Arabidopsis thaliana: one gene and its partners. The protein of the gene in region 1 interacts with the protein of each later gene in a biochemical or structural test. Each region holds a gene or a part of one and is shown in the gene's direction. Other genes may lie near its edges.

Evidence for each region.
Region 2: of the proteins of AT4G33540 (region 1) and MPK5, one has a biochemical effect on the other in vitro, tested with the Arabidopsis thaliana proteins (one large-scale study listed by BioGRID).
Region 3: of the proteins of AT4G33540 (region 1) and MPK7, one has a biochemical effect on the other in vitro, tested with the Arabidopsis thaliana proteins (one large-scale study listed by BioGRID).

What each region holds. Positions count from the first base shown.
Region 1 is NC_003075.7:16,128,449-16,134,542, forward strand, and holds AT4G33540 (metallo-beta-lactamase family protein), read left to right. Parts: upstream 1-2,144; 5' UTR 2,145-2,433; coding exon 2,434-2,638; intron 2,639-2,734; coding exon 2,735-2,778; intron 2,779-2,924; exon of another isoform or gene 2,925-3,085; intron 3,086-3,164; coding exon 3,165-3,245; intron 3,246-3,498; coding exon 3,499-3,606; intron 3,607-3,831; coding exon 3,832-3,923; intron 3,924-4,076; coding exon 4,077-4,151; intron 4,152-4,235; coding exon 4,236-4,305; intron 4,306-4,550; coding exon 4,551-4,652; intron 4,653-4,756; coding exon 4,757-4,865; intron 4,866-4,968; coding exon 4,969-5,031; intron 5,032-5,111; coding exon 5,112-5,230; 3' UTR 5,231-5,521; downstream 5,522-6,094. Other genes in the region: KUP5 (K+ uptake permease 5), read right to left, coding at 45-97, 202-462, 782-832, 961-1,209, 1,290-1,518, 1,612-1,905; AT4G33550 (Bifunctional inhibitor/lipid-transfer protein/seed storage 2S albumin superfamily protein), read left to right, coding at 6,090-6,094.
Region 2 is NC_003075.7:6,889,887-6,895,054, forward strand, and holds MPK5 (MAP kinase 5), read left to right. Parts: upstream 1-2,039; 5' UTR 2,040-2,256; coding exon 2,257-2,429; intron 2,430-2,683; coding exon 2,684-2,813; intron 2,814-2,883; coding exon 2,884-3,021; intron 3,022-3,097; coding exon 3,098-3,430; intron 3,431-3,526; coding exon 3,527-3,710; intron 3,711-3,786; coding exon 3,787-3,959; 3' UTR 3,960-4,321; downstream 4,322-5,168. Other genes in the region: AT4G11340 (Disease resistance protein (TIR-NBS-LRR class) family), read right to left, coding at 4,322-4,582, 4,753-4,825.
Region 3 is NC_003071.7:7,907,003-7,911,917, reverse strand, and holds MPK7 (MAP kinase 7), read left to right. Parts: upstream 1-1,877; 5' UTR 1,878-2,201; intron 2,202-2,536; 5' UTR 2,537-2,543; coding exon 2,544-2,966; intron 2,967-3,056; coding exon 3,057-3,740; 3' UTR 3,741-4,144; downstream 4,145-4,915. Other genes in the region: AT2G18180 (Sec14p-like phosphatidylinositol transfer family protein), read left to right, coding at 1-24, 90-150, 247-647, 739-864. UniProt on the Arabidopsis thaliana protein: MKK3-MPK7 module acts as a positive regulator of PR1 gene expression.

The sequences.
Region 1 (6,094 bases):
ACTATCAGAAGAGCAATAAATGAGTATTTATCTCCTTAAAGTACCTGGATAGAGTGAACAGAGAAATAGCTAAGATCTGCAAACATGGCCTCCGATCCTGAGACAAGATCCACATGTATAGAAATGAGCAATGACATTTAGTCAAAAAGTCATTCAATGTATTTAAGCTTTCTAAAATATTTCCCAGAATATGAAACTTACCAGTTGCACATAAAACGCAACCCCCAAGTGCATACCAAGCATTTACAGAGTTTCTCTTGAAAAAGAAATAGATATATGCAGGATTGAACGCTTTAAAAACGCTGCTGTCATATTTTACGAGGTTGTAAATTCCAATGCCCGCTAGACAAAAAAACCACAGAAGTAAAGCAGGACCCAAAACAAGCCCCAATTTGCTGGTTCCATATTTTTGTACACTGAACAAGATCACAAGAAAGCTGACTGATATCACGACCACCTGATCTGCAAATGAAGCCATAGTCAGAAACTTTACACAAAAAATAGTCACTAATCACTCATCAAGATAAGATTATGTTTTTTGAAAGCTTTGTACAATCATTAGCCCCTATTCAGGGGGCAGAAGAGTTTACCCTCTTCTTTGTTGTATCTATAATCTAATTGAAGTCAAGGGACCCAGGATGCAACCATTAAAGACCCATAAAAAGTTTTCTGGTCCAAGGAATACATATATCCAAGGAACGATTACAAGTTTTGAAAGCCAGACGAAATCATGCTCGTGACCATACATAGGCGCTAATAAACGTCAACTAGAATTAGTTACCTTGTTCTATAACACCAACTCCAACCTTCAGACCACCGATAGCAGACATTACTGTGTCCAAAAAAGAGGGTAAAATTTAGCTGCAGATTATTCATGCAACGATAATGCTCACATGCTTTTTCTCTATACTTGATATGTGACATAGGAACAAAAAATGTAGCCTGACAGCATATAAGTACCTGACATTGCTGGCGTAACAACAGCATCAGCAATCACCATAGCAGTGCCGGCAAGAACTAAAATCAGAAGAAGCTTTTTCAAGGCCATTGACGCCTCAAGTCTTTCTTTAATTATCAATGATCTTTCAAGTTCTGGAGACGGAACCTTCAAACCAAAGCCTGATATGCGAGCATCTGATGGAAGTTGATTTGGGATAAGGCTAACATTTGCATGCCGGCAGATCAACGAATACAAAGCAAACGTCCCACCTGCAATTCATTTCCAAAACTTAAACCTTTAAACCTTAAATGAACTTCAATCTACACCATATAAAGAGGAAGAGATATACCTTCGCCATCGTCATTGGCCCAAAGAACAAAATGTACATACTTTACAAGAGGAATCAATATTAAAGTGTATATAACCAATGACAAGGCTCCAATAATATCTTCTTTGTCGTTAATTGGAGATCTTCTGAACATGACAGTGAAGGTATACAATGGGCTAGTTCCAATATCACCAAATACAACCCCAAGTGTCTGCAAAGCAAGTATGAGTTTCTTTCCTATACCAGTGTCCTGAAAAAACACATTACCAAGTTCAACAACTCAATCAGATCGAAAAGTAAACAACATGAAGAAGAAGAAGAACATTCACACACAAATGCTAACCTCGATTTCGTTTTTCTGAGTTCCAGGAATCTCAAGAGCATCTACATCGAAAGAGTCAACGGCAGGGCTAGTGCGAATCAAACGCTGCTCCACATTGTCATCCTCCTCATCGGAATCCATTTCCGGGTGATTATGCTCATCATATCCATCATCGTCGTAATCTTCATTAACCTCATAATCATCTTTCTCATCGAACACCCATCGCGACAATGACGTCGTTGAATCGTCTCCGCCAAACTCCTCATCAATCTCAGACCCATCGCCTCCACTGCTTTCTTCTTCCACGTGAAACATCAATCACCGTTGGAAAACACTGAAGATCTCGAGATTGTGATTCAGATTCGTATCTCTGATCCAAGGAAACAGGATTGGAATTGGTGTTTTTGAGAGATTGAGAGATGGAAGAGAGAGATTGATCTACATACACTGGAGAGGACCTGGCACGAATGAGAAAGAAGCTTACACGTGTCCAATCATGATTGGATTCGAGACTCACGGTTTAAGGAAAAACAAACCAGACCAAATTAGGCTTAACCGCTAAAAAACCGGGTTCTCGTTTTGAAAGATTGAGAGAGACGATCTACAAAGGAGGACAGGACCCGGCACGAATGAGAAGAAGCTTACACGTGTCCAATCAGGATTGAACGATTTAATCAAGCTTAACCGTATGTAAACCGGATTTTAGCTGGGTCCACAAGTAGTCAAATATAGATTTTTTAATAGTCAAATAATTTTCATAGGGGCGAAGTTCAAGATGAGTTACTACACTCATCAAAGCTCACAAAAAGAGAAGAGAAGAGACGAGGATCAATCACCATTCTCATGGCTTCAGCTTCTTTCTCTGCGGTTTCTTCGCTCTCGTATCAATTCCGTTCAAAAGAAGCGATCTTTTCATCGAAAGCTTCCTGTTTTAGCTCGACGGCTTTATCAGGAAGGAGAGTGTTTGGATCTATCAAAGCAGCTCAAGTGACAAGCCATGAGAATCCTAGAAGACGAACTCAGAACGTCGAAGGAGATATATTTGTTGGTAAATAAAGTCTGGTTACTTTTTATTGCAAATTGAAAACAAAGAGAGATCATTAACGCCCTCTCTCTGTCTATCTTTCAATGGATTTTTTTGCAGACAATACTTGTATTGATTGTGATACATGTCGTTGGATGGTTCCGGTAAGCTTTTCTTCTCTGAAATCTGTAAAGCTCCTAAATTTTTCTGCTCTTTCCCCTGTCTTGTGGACCCTTTTGGTGGTCCTTTGAAATTGATGAATTGATTTAAGCATTTTGGGTCTATTGGTTGGTAGGGTAAAGTAGTTGGGGGGTTTTCATTTTGGGTATTGGGAAGTTGATGCCTTAGGATTGATCTCGAAGAAGGATATACTAACATTAGAATATAATCTGATTTGATCACAGTCATTATATGAGAACAAGAAGTTAGAATGTTCATGTTATAGTTGTTTGTTAGCAGGCCAATGCAGCTGTGAGAGCAGGATTTTACTTTCCCTTTACATTTTTTTCAGCCAATTCGTAAACAGCTTTTCTCTGATTTATCTTCACAGGATTTATTCACTCGAGTGGACAACATGTCTGCGGTTACAAAGCAACCAACTTGTAAGGAGGAAAGACTGAATGCTCTTCAGGTGCCTTAACTACGTCGATTTTAGTTTTCTTTCTATTTAATATCTGATGACATTTCATTGAGGATGTTTTTGAATCTCCTTGTTTTTTTGTCTTTGATAGCTTTTATTGTTACCTTATAAAACAGATAGACAAATTTTGTGGAAATGTCTGCTAGGATGTCATAGACTGAGAAATTTCTTATGAAGAAAAATATTTTAGTGAGTAAAATTTCTGAGGTTGTCCTGATTACTCATGGTTTCTTGATTCTTTCAGGCCTTACTATCTTGTCCGACGGGCTCTATTCGCACTCAAACTCCACCTGCTGACATAGGGGAAGCTCAAGAGACCTTTCCACTTGTAGTGGACAAAGACACACTTCCTGTACTTTTTAATCCCTTAAGCTTTCATTTTTTTAGGATGGTTATTAACAAGTCAACTAACTCTGATTAGATCATTGTAAGCATACGTAGGTTTTGAATAGATTTAGATACAATGACCTTAAGTTCTTAACTGATTTAGCTCCACTGAGGACTCTTACTACCTTGTTCTTATATGTTGTCTGCTGTCCTTGAGGTTTATAAAGTTTGAGATTTGCATTATGCTCAGGGCGTTTTTCATTGTGGATTTCATTCCAAGAAATCGTATGGAGCAACTTCTTACCTGATCCTTCATCGTGAGGGAAATATACTTGTTGATAGGTATATACCCTTGGGAGGAGGCATCATGAATTCTTATTTTCTTTGTTGTTTAGTATCTTATACATTGTTGATGCAATGTATTTCTTGATATACTTCGTTGTGGCTATTAACTCTACACAACTGATTAAACCAAGGTTTTGCTGTTTGCTGCAGTCCTAGGTACGTGGAGAAACTTGCTGGAAAGATCGAGATGAAGGGTGGTGTTCGCTACATGTTTTTGACACACAGGTAGAATTGATAACACCTAAAGGAGAAAATCCGTGTTTTCTCTTGTAATCTCTGTTAATCAGGATAAGCGATTTCATTGTTCAGGGATGATGTTGCAGATCACAAGAAATGGGCAGACAGATTCAAGTCTACCAGAATTCTGCATTCTGATGATGTATGTCCTTGAATTTTTCACACCTCTCTGCACATTCTTGATAGGTTTTTTCAACATCTAGATTTCGTGAAAAATGAAAAAGCTTGCTTACATAGTTACAAGAACCTTGGGCTGCTTATATGCTCTGTAGAAAATAGAAAAAGATTATGAGGTTGGATAAAAGTAAAAAGTAAACTAGCCACGCAAACAATTTTGTTACTAAACCCATCTCTGATCGACCATTAAGGGAATTTTTTTTTTGTTAGGTTGAACCTTCGACCTCTGATGTGGAGTTAAAGCTGGAAGGAAGTGGACCATGGAGTATCTATGAAGATGTCGAACTTATACACACTCCTGGTCATTCAGAAGTAAGTTTGTCCAACTGCAAGAACATACATAAAAACAAATGTTCAATTTTTGTTAAAAAGAATTCCATCATGATCTTGGGATAAGAGCTTCGTACAATTTGCAGGGATCAGTGTGCATGTTCCATAAGTCCCTCAAGGCATTATTCACTGGCGACCATGTAATAATGACCGAATCTGGATTGAGCATTTTAGAGCAGTACAATCACGGTTCAGGTAAAGACTCATCTGTTGAATGTCTTTGGGTTAATGTTTTTGAATATTCATTCAAGAACGTAGAAAGATTGATCTAAATGTTTTTTTTTTGTGTCTCTGGCAGTGCCTCTCCAGCTCGAGAACGTAGAAAAATTGATCAACCTGGATTTCAATTGGCTAATACCGGGTTAGTGCACTTTGGCTATATATATCTGCTTTACTACTGAAATGGACATTTTGGATGTTGATGGCGGTTTTGTATATCAGGACATGGAAGAAGAGTACATTTCAAAGATGGAGACGAGAAGGCGAAGAATCTGGAAGCACTTGTTCAGAAGCACAGAGAGAAACAACTTGTTTCCTTTAGCAAATCCGGGAAAGCTTAAGATATGTATGCTGATTCTAAACCGGTTAATCAAACTAAACCAGACCGAATGTCTCTACGGCCTGACTGGTCTATGTGTCAGTTAGTTCCCACGCGAGTGATGTATTTATTTCTACGTAACATTGTGAACCTGCTTAAACGCTTACTAGATTGAAACGAAGACCGTGAGTAATAAAGTCTCCTCTTTCCTAGTGCAAGTATGTCAGCTAAAGTGTTGCTGTGTTTTTTTACGATATTTTTCATGTTATTCGGAATGTCTTAAATCACAAAAAATATTCGACTTTTCACAAGCATCGGATGCATAGTTGTTTATTTGATAAGGGTATCTCCCATAGCTAGTTAAAAATGTTATTTAATATATTCGTTTTGGTACCATATGCTACAATAATCATATTATGCAGAGATCATCGAATAACATCACATAAGGTAAGAAAGTTCATGTAAAAAGAAAATGCACTAATAATCATTCACAAACTTAGCAGTAGATTAGCGATCGAAAATTGATGTCACCAAATTTAACAATCTTTAAAATGACATCTTTTAATTAACGACGTTCATTCGGAGACAAAATGAATTTCATCAAAAATGAGTCACTAAACTATTTTTCAACCACTCCACTAAAAAAGTTAAACCTCATTCAAAAACTGCCACGAAACATTCCCACCAACAAAAGATAACAAATAATATAGACTCCCTCGCCTTGTTGCTTCCCACTACAAAAGTAACAAGAAAAATTGTTACAATACTAAGCATAGTATTAACGTTATGCTATATATACAAATCTCTCGTCGGACCAAATATTCGCATTCATAGATTTCATTACAAATTAACGAACTATTCACAGAAAGAAATAAAACGAGATGGG
Region 2 (5,168 bases), 9.2 Mb from region 1:
ATAACATTCATATTTTTCAAAATAACTATATCTTAATAGAAGTCTCACGATTCGATACTTCGATCGACCACAACCAGACGTAGTCTCGTGTGATTGTGTGACTAACTTTAAAAACAACAATAATGAAATCAAAACACGAAAATCTAATTCTTACGTCCTTGTTTTTTAAATTCTCTTACGTCAATTCTTACCTTTGCGACCAAAAGAACATGTTAAATTTAAACCTACTAATTTCCGATTTAAATTTCTTAATCTTGTTACTATGAACCAAAAATTACACAATCTTTTCCCACGGAACAAAGATTATTTATTAGTATCCATATACATACAAATATACAATACACTCAAGCCACTCATATTTCGTACTTGATCAAGATATTTTCCCCCGGTAAAATCCAATTTAGAATTGTACAACATATATATTGGAAGTTCCGTTGTGTCATACCGTCACACTAATAATACAGCATACCAATAATAGAGCGCAAACGTTTCACATTGAATAGTTCACCACATATCAACTTGAGTAAATTATTATGCTTAGAGTTGTTGTCTTTTTGTTTTTTTATTTTTTTTGAATATCTGGAAATTCAAACTCAAAGACCTTACATTTTCTAGAGGCGGGATCCACACCAGATTAAATTCATATCCTTTGGGAAAGAAATCTCTTCCAACATGCCTCAAACCCAGTATTTCTAACTGAGAGATTTACCTACATAATTCAACAATCATGTCTATTATGTTTTCAATTTAGGATATCTAAAAATATTGTGAAGATAAACGAAACAAAACTTGAGGGAAAAAAAACAGTCACGTGAGTCATGAGTTATAAAGCATGGATAATGTTGGAGATCTAATTAATCTAATTGAATGCCACATCAAATTAAGCCAATCAGTGGAGAAGATCAATAATAAAAGTGAATTGGATCTGCCACTACACTTTTAGCATGAATATGGCTAAAAGAGATTGGTATTGGTAATGGTATCGTTGTCGGAGATTGTCGTACCAATTAAATAACATGTAATTATTGGATATATATTATATTGTGTCGGCCTAGTCATATTTGATGTGTAAGTGCGAGTGATTTGAGTTAGATATGGGGTATTTTACGAGGAAAATATTGAACAATTTAGGGTATTTTAAGGGTTGTAGTTTGAGCATCACAAGTTAATTATATTTAGGTTCTGCGTAAATTTGACTCAAAAGATTAAGTTATCAAAAGAAACCTCGTATAATATGATCCATATTAATTTTCTTTTTTTTATATAGAAAAGTTGAAGATTATGAGTAAATTGGTAAACTCGCGATATTCCAGAGTTCAAAACGTAATTTTAATGACAATTTGGTGAATAGTATAAATTAATATATTAAGTAAAAGATAACATTCTATTCGATATTGGTTTAATATGTCAACTGTTATATGTACATATAAGATGTTACTGATATATTAAGTGAATAATATGATATTCACCAAAAAAAATTGTATAATGAATGTGACTTTGAGTTGAAAGTTTGAAAACGAAGAGACTATAACATTTGAAGGAATCTATGGAATACGGGTGTGGAACCAATAGTGGAGGCCCTCTTCATAAACCGAGTTTCCCGAGATCCAAATTGTGCTGATGGAGCGGTTTCTAACGTTCTTGTCGATAATACTTGCAAGCTTGGCCGAAGGAACAGAAGAGTTACCATGACGTCTACCATTACGCTCGCACCACAAAGTATGAATTGATTATATGGAATACATACCTTAGAATGAAAGTATGTAGTTTTGGATGAGAATCATCAAGTAGAAGAGGAGAGATTAAACTCCAACTTGTATTGTATCTCAGTATCTGTTGCGAAGAATTCCTTTAGTGAGAGATGTGTATTGATAGGTGAAAAGGAAAAGGTCTCTTACTTTCATATTACGTGGGCCTCATAACATAGACCAGAGCTGATAGCATACCTCTCTCTATATTAAATAGATGGGCCAGGCCCAAACGTTTACCCATCTGTATTTATTACAAAGTACACGTGGCTGATGGACATGTGACGATACGTTTTGACCTATTCAAAATATTCAAACTAATGAAAAAGAGTCGTTGTCCTCTGACGCGTCTCTCTCTATCTCCTTAGATTTTCAAAGTTTTCAACATTCAACAAAATCATTATTTTAATTTTGCAGAGACGAATCGAATCGATCTCATCTCCAAAAATCTTGTATTCAAAGTTTGATTTTCTGGGTTTCTTCTGTATTATCTCGATATTTGAAAAAAATGGCGAAGGAAATTGAATCAGCGACAGATTTAGGTGATACTAACATCAAAGGAGTTCTTGTTCATGGAGGAAGATATTTTCAATACAATGTTTATGGAAACTTGTTTGAAGTTTCTAATAAGTATGTTCCTCCTATTCGACCTATTGGTAGAGGAGCTTACGGTTTTGTCTGGTACAACTTCTACCCTTTTGTGTATTTCATATTCTTGTTTCTTACTTAGTATTTGTAACCCTAATTAGATAAAGAACTAAGTATTGGTATAGGTTTTTGAATTAGGGTTGCTTGCAAAATTTGATCTTTTTTGGATTTAAGAAAGGTTCTGTCTTCAAAATCATAGTTTAAATTGAATGAATTTGATGATTTGTTTGTGTTTGTGTTTATGTATAAGCAAAATGATTCATGAGAGTATTGGTTTATTGTTATAGTGCTGCAGTAGATTCGGAGACACACGAAGAGATTGCGATAAAGAAGATAGGTAAAGCCTTTGATAATAAAGTAGATGCAAAGAGAACATTGAGAGAGATTAAGCTACTTCGTCATTTAGAACACGAGAACGTAAGTTTTGTACTCTATTTTCGCGGTAAACGATTAGAGTTTCTAGCTAATGTGGTCTTGACTTGTACAGGTTGTTGTTATAAAAGATATCATTAGACCACCAAAGAAGGAAGATTTCGTTGATGTTTATATAGTTTTTGAGTTAATGGATACTGATCTTCATCAGATTATTCGATCAAACCAATCTTTGAATGATGATCATTGTCAGGTACGGTTTTTACTCTGCTATATTTGATACTATGGTTGATTTAATCACAAGTGATTCACTTTTTCTTCTTTTGCAGTACTTCTTGTATCAGATTCTACGAGGACTCAAATATATTCATTCAGCAAATGTTTTACATCGTGACCTTAAGCCGAGTAATTTGCTTTTGAATTCGAATTGCGATCTTAAGATTACTGACTTTGGTTTGGCAAGGACTACATCAGAAACAGAGTATATGACAGAGTATGTTGTAACACGATGGTACAGAGCACCAGAGCTGCTTCTTAATAGTTCTGAGTATACATCTGCTATTGATGTATGGTCTGTTGGTTGCATATTTGCTGAGATTATGACAAGGGAACCGCTTTTCCCGGGGAAGGATTACGTTCATCAGCTTAAACTTATCACTGAGGTATGATGTTCTGTTTTAGAAAGATCTGTACAAATGTTGGAAACTTTTATTTGTGTGTTGCAATGTGTTTATGAGTTGTTTCATGTGGTTGAGTAGTTGATAGGATCACCTGATGGAGCGAGTCTAGAGTTTCTCAGAAGCGCGAACGCGAGAAAATATGTTAAGGAGCTACCTAAGTTCCCAAGACAAAACTTTTCAGCTAGGTTTCCTAGTATGAATTCTACAGCTATCGATCTACTAGAGAAAATGCTCGTGTTTGATCCAGTAAAACGTATCACGGGTATGATGAGAAAAATTGTACATAGCGAGATTGGCATATGGGTGATGAATCCTTGATCATACTCTTTGTTTTGCAGTTGAGGAAGCACTGTGTTATCCTTACTTGTCAGCTCTTCACGACCTTAACGACGAGCCTGTTTGTTCCAACCATTTCAGTTTCCATTTTGAGGATCCGTCTTCCACTGAAGAAGAGATAAAGGAGCTTGTGTGGCTCGAATCTGTGAAGTTCAATCCTCTGCCGAGCATTTAAAACATTATTTAAGAAGGGGAAAGCAAGTTTTATACTCTGACATTGAGCAAAACAAATTAGTAGTGTTTAAGCTCTGTTTCTCCTTCATCTCATGTTGATCGTTGTTTAAGCTATTTCACTAGTTAAAAAAGCTGTCTTGCAACTCAAGAAATTGTTCTATAAGGATCCTTGTAACCCAAGACATATCTTTAGTAGTTATGTCCATTCTTATTATCAGGATGTCTTAGATAGTGTTCTGTTTCTTCTACATATCATGTTGTTATCTTGTAACTCAAGAAATTAAATTAAAAAGCTATCTTTGTTTAGACTTGTATCATGTCACTTGGATTGTACTCGTAGAAAATGGGAAAAACTCGATGTGTTTATTCATCTCCAGCAGTTTCTTCAAGCACTACGTCGAGCTCTTGCAAATTTTGGTAATGAACACTAGTTCGATCCTTCACTCTCGAAACTCGACAAAAAAGTCTATCAACTTCGTCTCTTGACTCTATTCGAGTGATATTTTCATCATCTAGAAGGACGTTGATCCCACTCCTTCGTAACGCGGCTCTAAGAAGGCTGGAGAACTTGTTGCGGATCTCTCGACTCCGAAAACTTATGTAAACTTGATGTTGCGGCGTAATCTAGAGATTTTACAATGATTAGCCACTAGATTTATACAATAATTATATATATATAATTAACATACAGTATGTTCTTTTGTACACACCTTTTTTTTTTCTTTGTCATTGGCAATATTTCAATTTCTCTAATTCTAGAACTACATAATTTTTGATTTAATAGGATTACGTACGTGTGATGAGGAAACGTTGTCAAGCATTGCCTTAACCTTCTCGACGATTTCATTTACGAAGGTTGCTTGGTTGCTTCCAAAACAAAGTAAGAAAGAAAACAAATCATATAAGTATGATAACAATGTCGCAAATGGAAGAAACTACTGTTAAATGACCTCATTTTTAGTACGTAAGATTTTGAAAGTTATAAAGACTAATTTCCACATATTAGGAATCTAACATTCAAATATTAAAAGATTTAATACTGTTTATACATAGTCAATACTCAATACATTCATTTTTAACTCGGTTTGGAGAATGTATTGTTTACTAGATTTTAACCCGCGGTATACTGCGAGAACAATTTTATTTTTAAATTAGTATATATTAAAGTTTGCAAATTAAATCTATTTATATAATATTTTTATTTTATAGT
Region 3 (4,915 bases), on another chromosome or scaffold:
TCACAGCCCTCTCCTTGTCAAAATGTAAGAATGACACTATTTTCCTTCATGAGGCTTGTATTCTCCTTATATTTCTTCCCACATCTCAGGTCGTGGTTGCTCATCCAGCTTGGAACATACCAGAAGCTCACAAATTTTCCCTCTCAAAAAGTATAAGAGATCATGTGCAAATTACACTACTAAAGAGACAAATACTACTCCTTTTTAAAAGAACTTGAATTTAAGTACTTCTCTGTTTTTGAACAGGGGATGTTTACGCCATTCAAGAAGCTTGCAAAGCTACAAATGAAAGTGGAAGGTCTCCTATTTTCACTGGAGTCATGGCTTTTGTAATGGGTGTAGTCACCATGATTAGAGTGACTAAAAACGTTCCAAGGAAGCTAACCGAGTCAACTATATACTCTAGCCCGGTTTACTGCGACGAAAACTCGATGAACAAGAGCTCGATGCATGGGAAGAAAATGGCAACAACAACCATCTCAGGGGAAGATTTCATGGCGGTCATGAAACGAATGGCTGAGCTTGAGCAGAAAGTCACAAACTTGAGTGCACAGCCAGCAACTATGCCTCCTGAAAAGGAAGAGATGCTTAATGCTGCCATTAGCCGAGCCGATTTCTTGGAACAAGAACTTGCTGCAACCAAGAAGGTAACACAAAACAAAAAAAACTTTCATATATATTACTGATTTGTTCTCAGCTTTCACTATCTCACACTAAAGAGTTGTTGTATCTTCACAGGCTCTTGATGATTCTCTTACCCGACAAGAGGACCTTGTGGCATACGTTGAGAGAAAGAAGAAGAAGAAGAAGCTGGTCCGCTTTCAAATCAATGCCTACTTAACTAATTTTTGTTTTGGTGTTTAAAATGGTGTTCTGTTTTACTTTTTATCTCCATGTGCAGTTCACTTGGTAAGTGAGGAACATGAGGAAGAAGAAGCCTCTAGTGGAGTTAGAGGTGGCCAATGCACTCATGTCATTAACTTAAATCTTACAGTCACATTAAAATTAAGAGAATCTCCAAAGAAAGAATTTTGTTATGTCTCTGTATATATATATCATCCTTAGATGTTACCACTTATCCGCATCATATGCGAGATCATGTTTGATTTGTACAAAAGAAAACAATGAATTTATAAGAAATATATTTTGTAAAGTAGTTTTGTACAAAAGATTAGTGTGCAAACATTTTTAACATCAACGTATAAAATTCAAGTACACTTTATATAAACTAAATTACTAGGGTTGAAGATGAATTGGGGCTTGATGGTTTGGAGAGACAGAATCTTCGAAGATCTATGGAGAAACTCAAAGTTGATTGATAATCTGCGTTCGTCAACTGATAGGTTTACTCAACCATTTGCCACTCAAATTAGTTATGTCATCATCTGATGTTAAATCCATCAGCCACACTTATCCTTTTTTTAATCTAATCCTCAAACCTCTCCGAAAGAGACAGAAGGTCTTCAAACCAAGAGTGGTTTTGTAGTTGACCACTTTTTGAGGCTTTTAAGTTAGGTTTAACTACACCCAGTGGAAACTTCGGTTCGGACAACAACAAGAAGTTGCTCCCAATCTACGTTTACCACGTGTCACTTTTTCAGTCCACCCACGTGCTTAGCCGGTTACTTGATCCATTTAAATCCTCAATTTCTGTATTCGTGTACGTATATTATACCAAGACAAATTCTACTTAATAAATATCTTACTCAATCTTTTTAATTAATTACAAAAATTCCTATGCATTATTTTTTTCTAATTACCAAATATAGTAATAACAATCCTGATTTGTATGCAAAAAAAAAACATGAAGAGTCCATTAAACTTTAGAGATTTTTTAATTAAAGATAGTTTGTAACTGAAGTTTTGTTACACAAAAAATATCTAATCTAAAAAGAATGTCGTTTTCGTAATTAGAAGACTTTGTAATTTGTTTTTTTCCTAAAAAACGAAAAGAAGTAACCAAAGCTTCTTCATCAACCAACGTATTTTGCTTCCTTTCTTCTTCTTCTTCTTCCTCTTCCCCTAACATTCCATTCCCCGTATGGGTCTCACCACTTCCTAACTCTTCTCTCTCTTATCTCTTCTTGTTTTAGCTATGAAGAAGCAATCTCAATTCAGATCCAATCATACCCTTCTCTTCTTTCATCTCTGATCATTAACAACAACAACAACGACTCGGGTTCTGTAAATTCAGTTATTGGGTATGTTCGATCTCTTGTTCTGTTTCTTCTCTTTATTCATTTAGCTTGTTTTAACTCTTAATTTTTGAGTTTTGATTATGATTAATCAAGAGTTATCATATTAAAAAGAGAATTTTTATAACCAAAGTTTGCTTTTTTCTTATGGAGTAGTAAGATTGATAGCTAAGTAAAGGAAACGATATTAAAAAGAGAATTTTTCTTAGTTGAATTTCACTTTTTGGAGACGTAAAGGAGAAAAAAGCTTCAATGATTCATAAATCGAAAATTCTCTATAAACCCTTTTCCAAAATCTTACCAATTTAGGGGAAAAATACTGAAAGTTTTGGTTTTTGCAGAGAGAAAATGGCGATGTTAGTTGAGCCACCAAATGGGATTAAGCAACAAGGGAAACATTACTACTCCATGTGGCAAACATTGTTCGAAATCGATACAAAGTATGTTCCGATTAAACCCATTGGAAGAGGAGCTTATGGTGTGGTTTGTTCTTCTATCAATCGTGAGACTAATGAGAGAGTTGCTATTAAAAAGATTCACAATGTGTTTGAGAATCGTGTTGATGCTTTGAGAACGTTGAGGGAACTTAAACTTCTTAGGCATGTGAGGCATGAGAATGTGATCGCGCTTAAAGATGTTATGTTGCCTGCTAATAGATCCAGTTTCAAGGATGTTTATTTGGTTTATGAGCTAATGGATACTGATCTTCATCAGATTATTAAATCCTCTCAGTCTCTTTCTGATGATCACTGCAAGTACTTCTTGTTTCAGGTAACTTTAAGTCCTTCCTCGGTAACTCTATGTTTCGAGTTTTGTATGTTTAGTTATTGAAATAAGTCTTGTTCTTGTTGTTGTGTTTAGTTGCTTAGAGGGTTGAAGTATCTTCATTCTGCAAACATACTTCACCGGGATTTGAAGCCCGGGAACCTCTTAGTTAATGCGAACTGCGATCTCAAGATTTGTGATTTCGGGTTGGCGAGAACGAGCCAAGGTAATGAACAGTTCATGACTGAGTATGTGGTTACACGTTGGTACAGAGCACCTGAGCTTCTTCTTTGTTGTGATAACTATGGAACCTCCATTGATGTATGGTCGGTTGGTTGCATATTCGCGGAGATTCTTGGTAGGAAACCGATTTTTCCAGGAACAGAATGCTTGAATCAGCTTAAGCTAATCATCAACGTTGTTGGTAGCCAACAAGAATCTGATATTCGGTTCATAGACAACCCGAAAGCTCGAAGGTTTATAAAGTCTCTTCCGTACTCAAGAGGAACTCATCTCTCCAATCTTTATCCACAAGCCAATCCTCTAGCTATAGATTTGTTACAGAGGATGCTTGTGTTTGATCCAACCAAGAGAATCTCTGTAACCGATGCGCTCTTACACCCGTATATGGCGGGGTTGTTTGATCCTGGATCCAATCCGCCTGCACATGTCCCAATCTCTCTGGACATAGATGAAAACATGGAGGAACCAGTGATAAGAGAGATGATGTGGAATGAGATGCTTTATTACCACCCTGAAGCTGAAATCTCAAATGCCTAAATCAACATCAATGATCATTAAGAGTAAGCTTTTTCCAGTTTTTTTTTTTTTTGCTTTCTAAAATGCAGCTTTGATGTTATGTTATATATAGCGAGTCCACAAACGCGGGAACAGATCGATAAAAAGCCCGGTGCTTTGATCTCGTCTGGTTTGATTTAGTTGCAGTGAGTGAGTAGTAGTAACAGAGTTTGAAAAGTGGCTCTCAGTATCTTTACCACTTTGTAAATGTGACTGTTTGTTACTAAGTAAGTTAAGGCTTGTTTTTGTTACATTATCTTTGAGTTGATGAGTTTTACTACTGATTTTCAGGCCAACTCTTGTATTTTGTATAGCTTTGCCATTGCCCACTTGCTAGCCACACGAAATAATTTTTTATAGTTTAGATACTCTCATACTATAAAGTATAAACTAATAAAAGTATAGATGTTATTTTCTCTAGTTTTTATCCTACCTTTAAAAAGCCGCCAAACATGTTTTCAATTCATTATAAGGGAAGATTGGATAATGTGTCACTTCATATTTTTCGTTCTTTTTAGTACTACCAAAACAATTTCAGAATATATTAGTAATCTTATAAATAATGATCTAAGGAAGTGTGCTATTTTTTTCAGTTCCAATATGAAGACTAGTGTGTTTTAAAAATACTTTATTTTATAAGTGTATTTATTTCAAAGGTGAATTAGCTAAATAACCAATTCCTGAAAAGAAATTAAATATCTAGCACCATAAGTTGCCGAATTCAGAGAGTAACACATGAGGTGTGTGTAATGACAACACACTCTTTCACCACACACTCCTTCACCCAACTCTTTCATTCATGTTTAAGGCGCGTGAAGAAAACAGAAGTGTAGTGAATTATGCTGACGTGGTCTTTTAAGGAACAATAAAAGTTTAAGTTATGTTGAGAAGAGAAAAGAGAAATATGATTAAAATATGTTCACCCTTTTTAATATTGTTTACTATATTATGTTAACAATATTAATTGGTTAAATTAATAATACTATTAAAAAAACAGATTTTTTTTGTGTATCTAATATGATTTGAATTTTAAAAATCGGATACGAATTTCTTAAAAAATGAATAGTGATACCAAATTCTATACATATCATCATAGAAAAATAGAATAGTACTCCCTATGTTCCTTTTTGTTTGATTTTTTAGAAAAAAAAATTGTT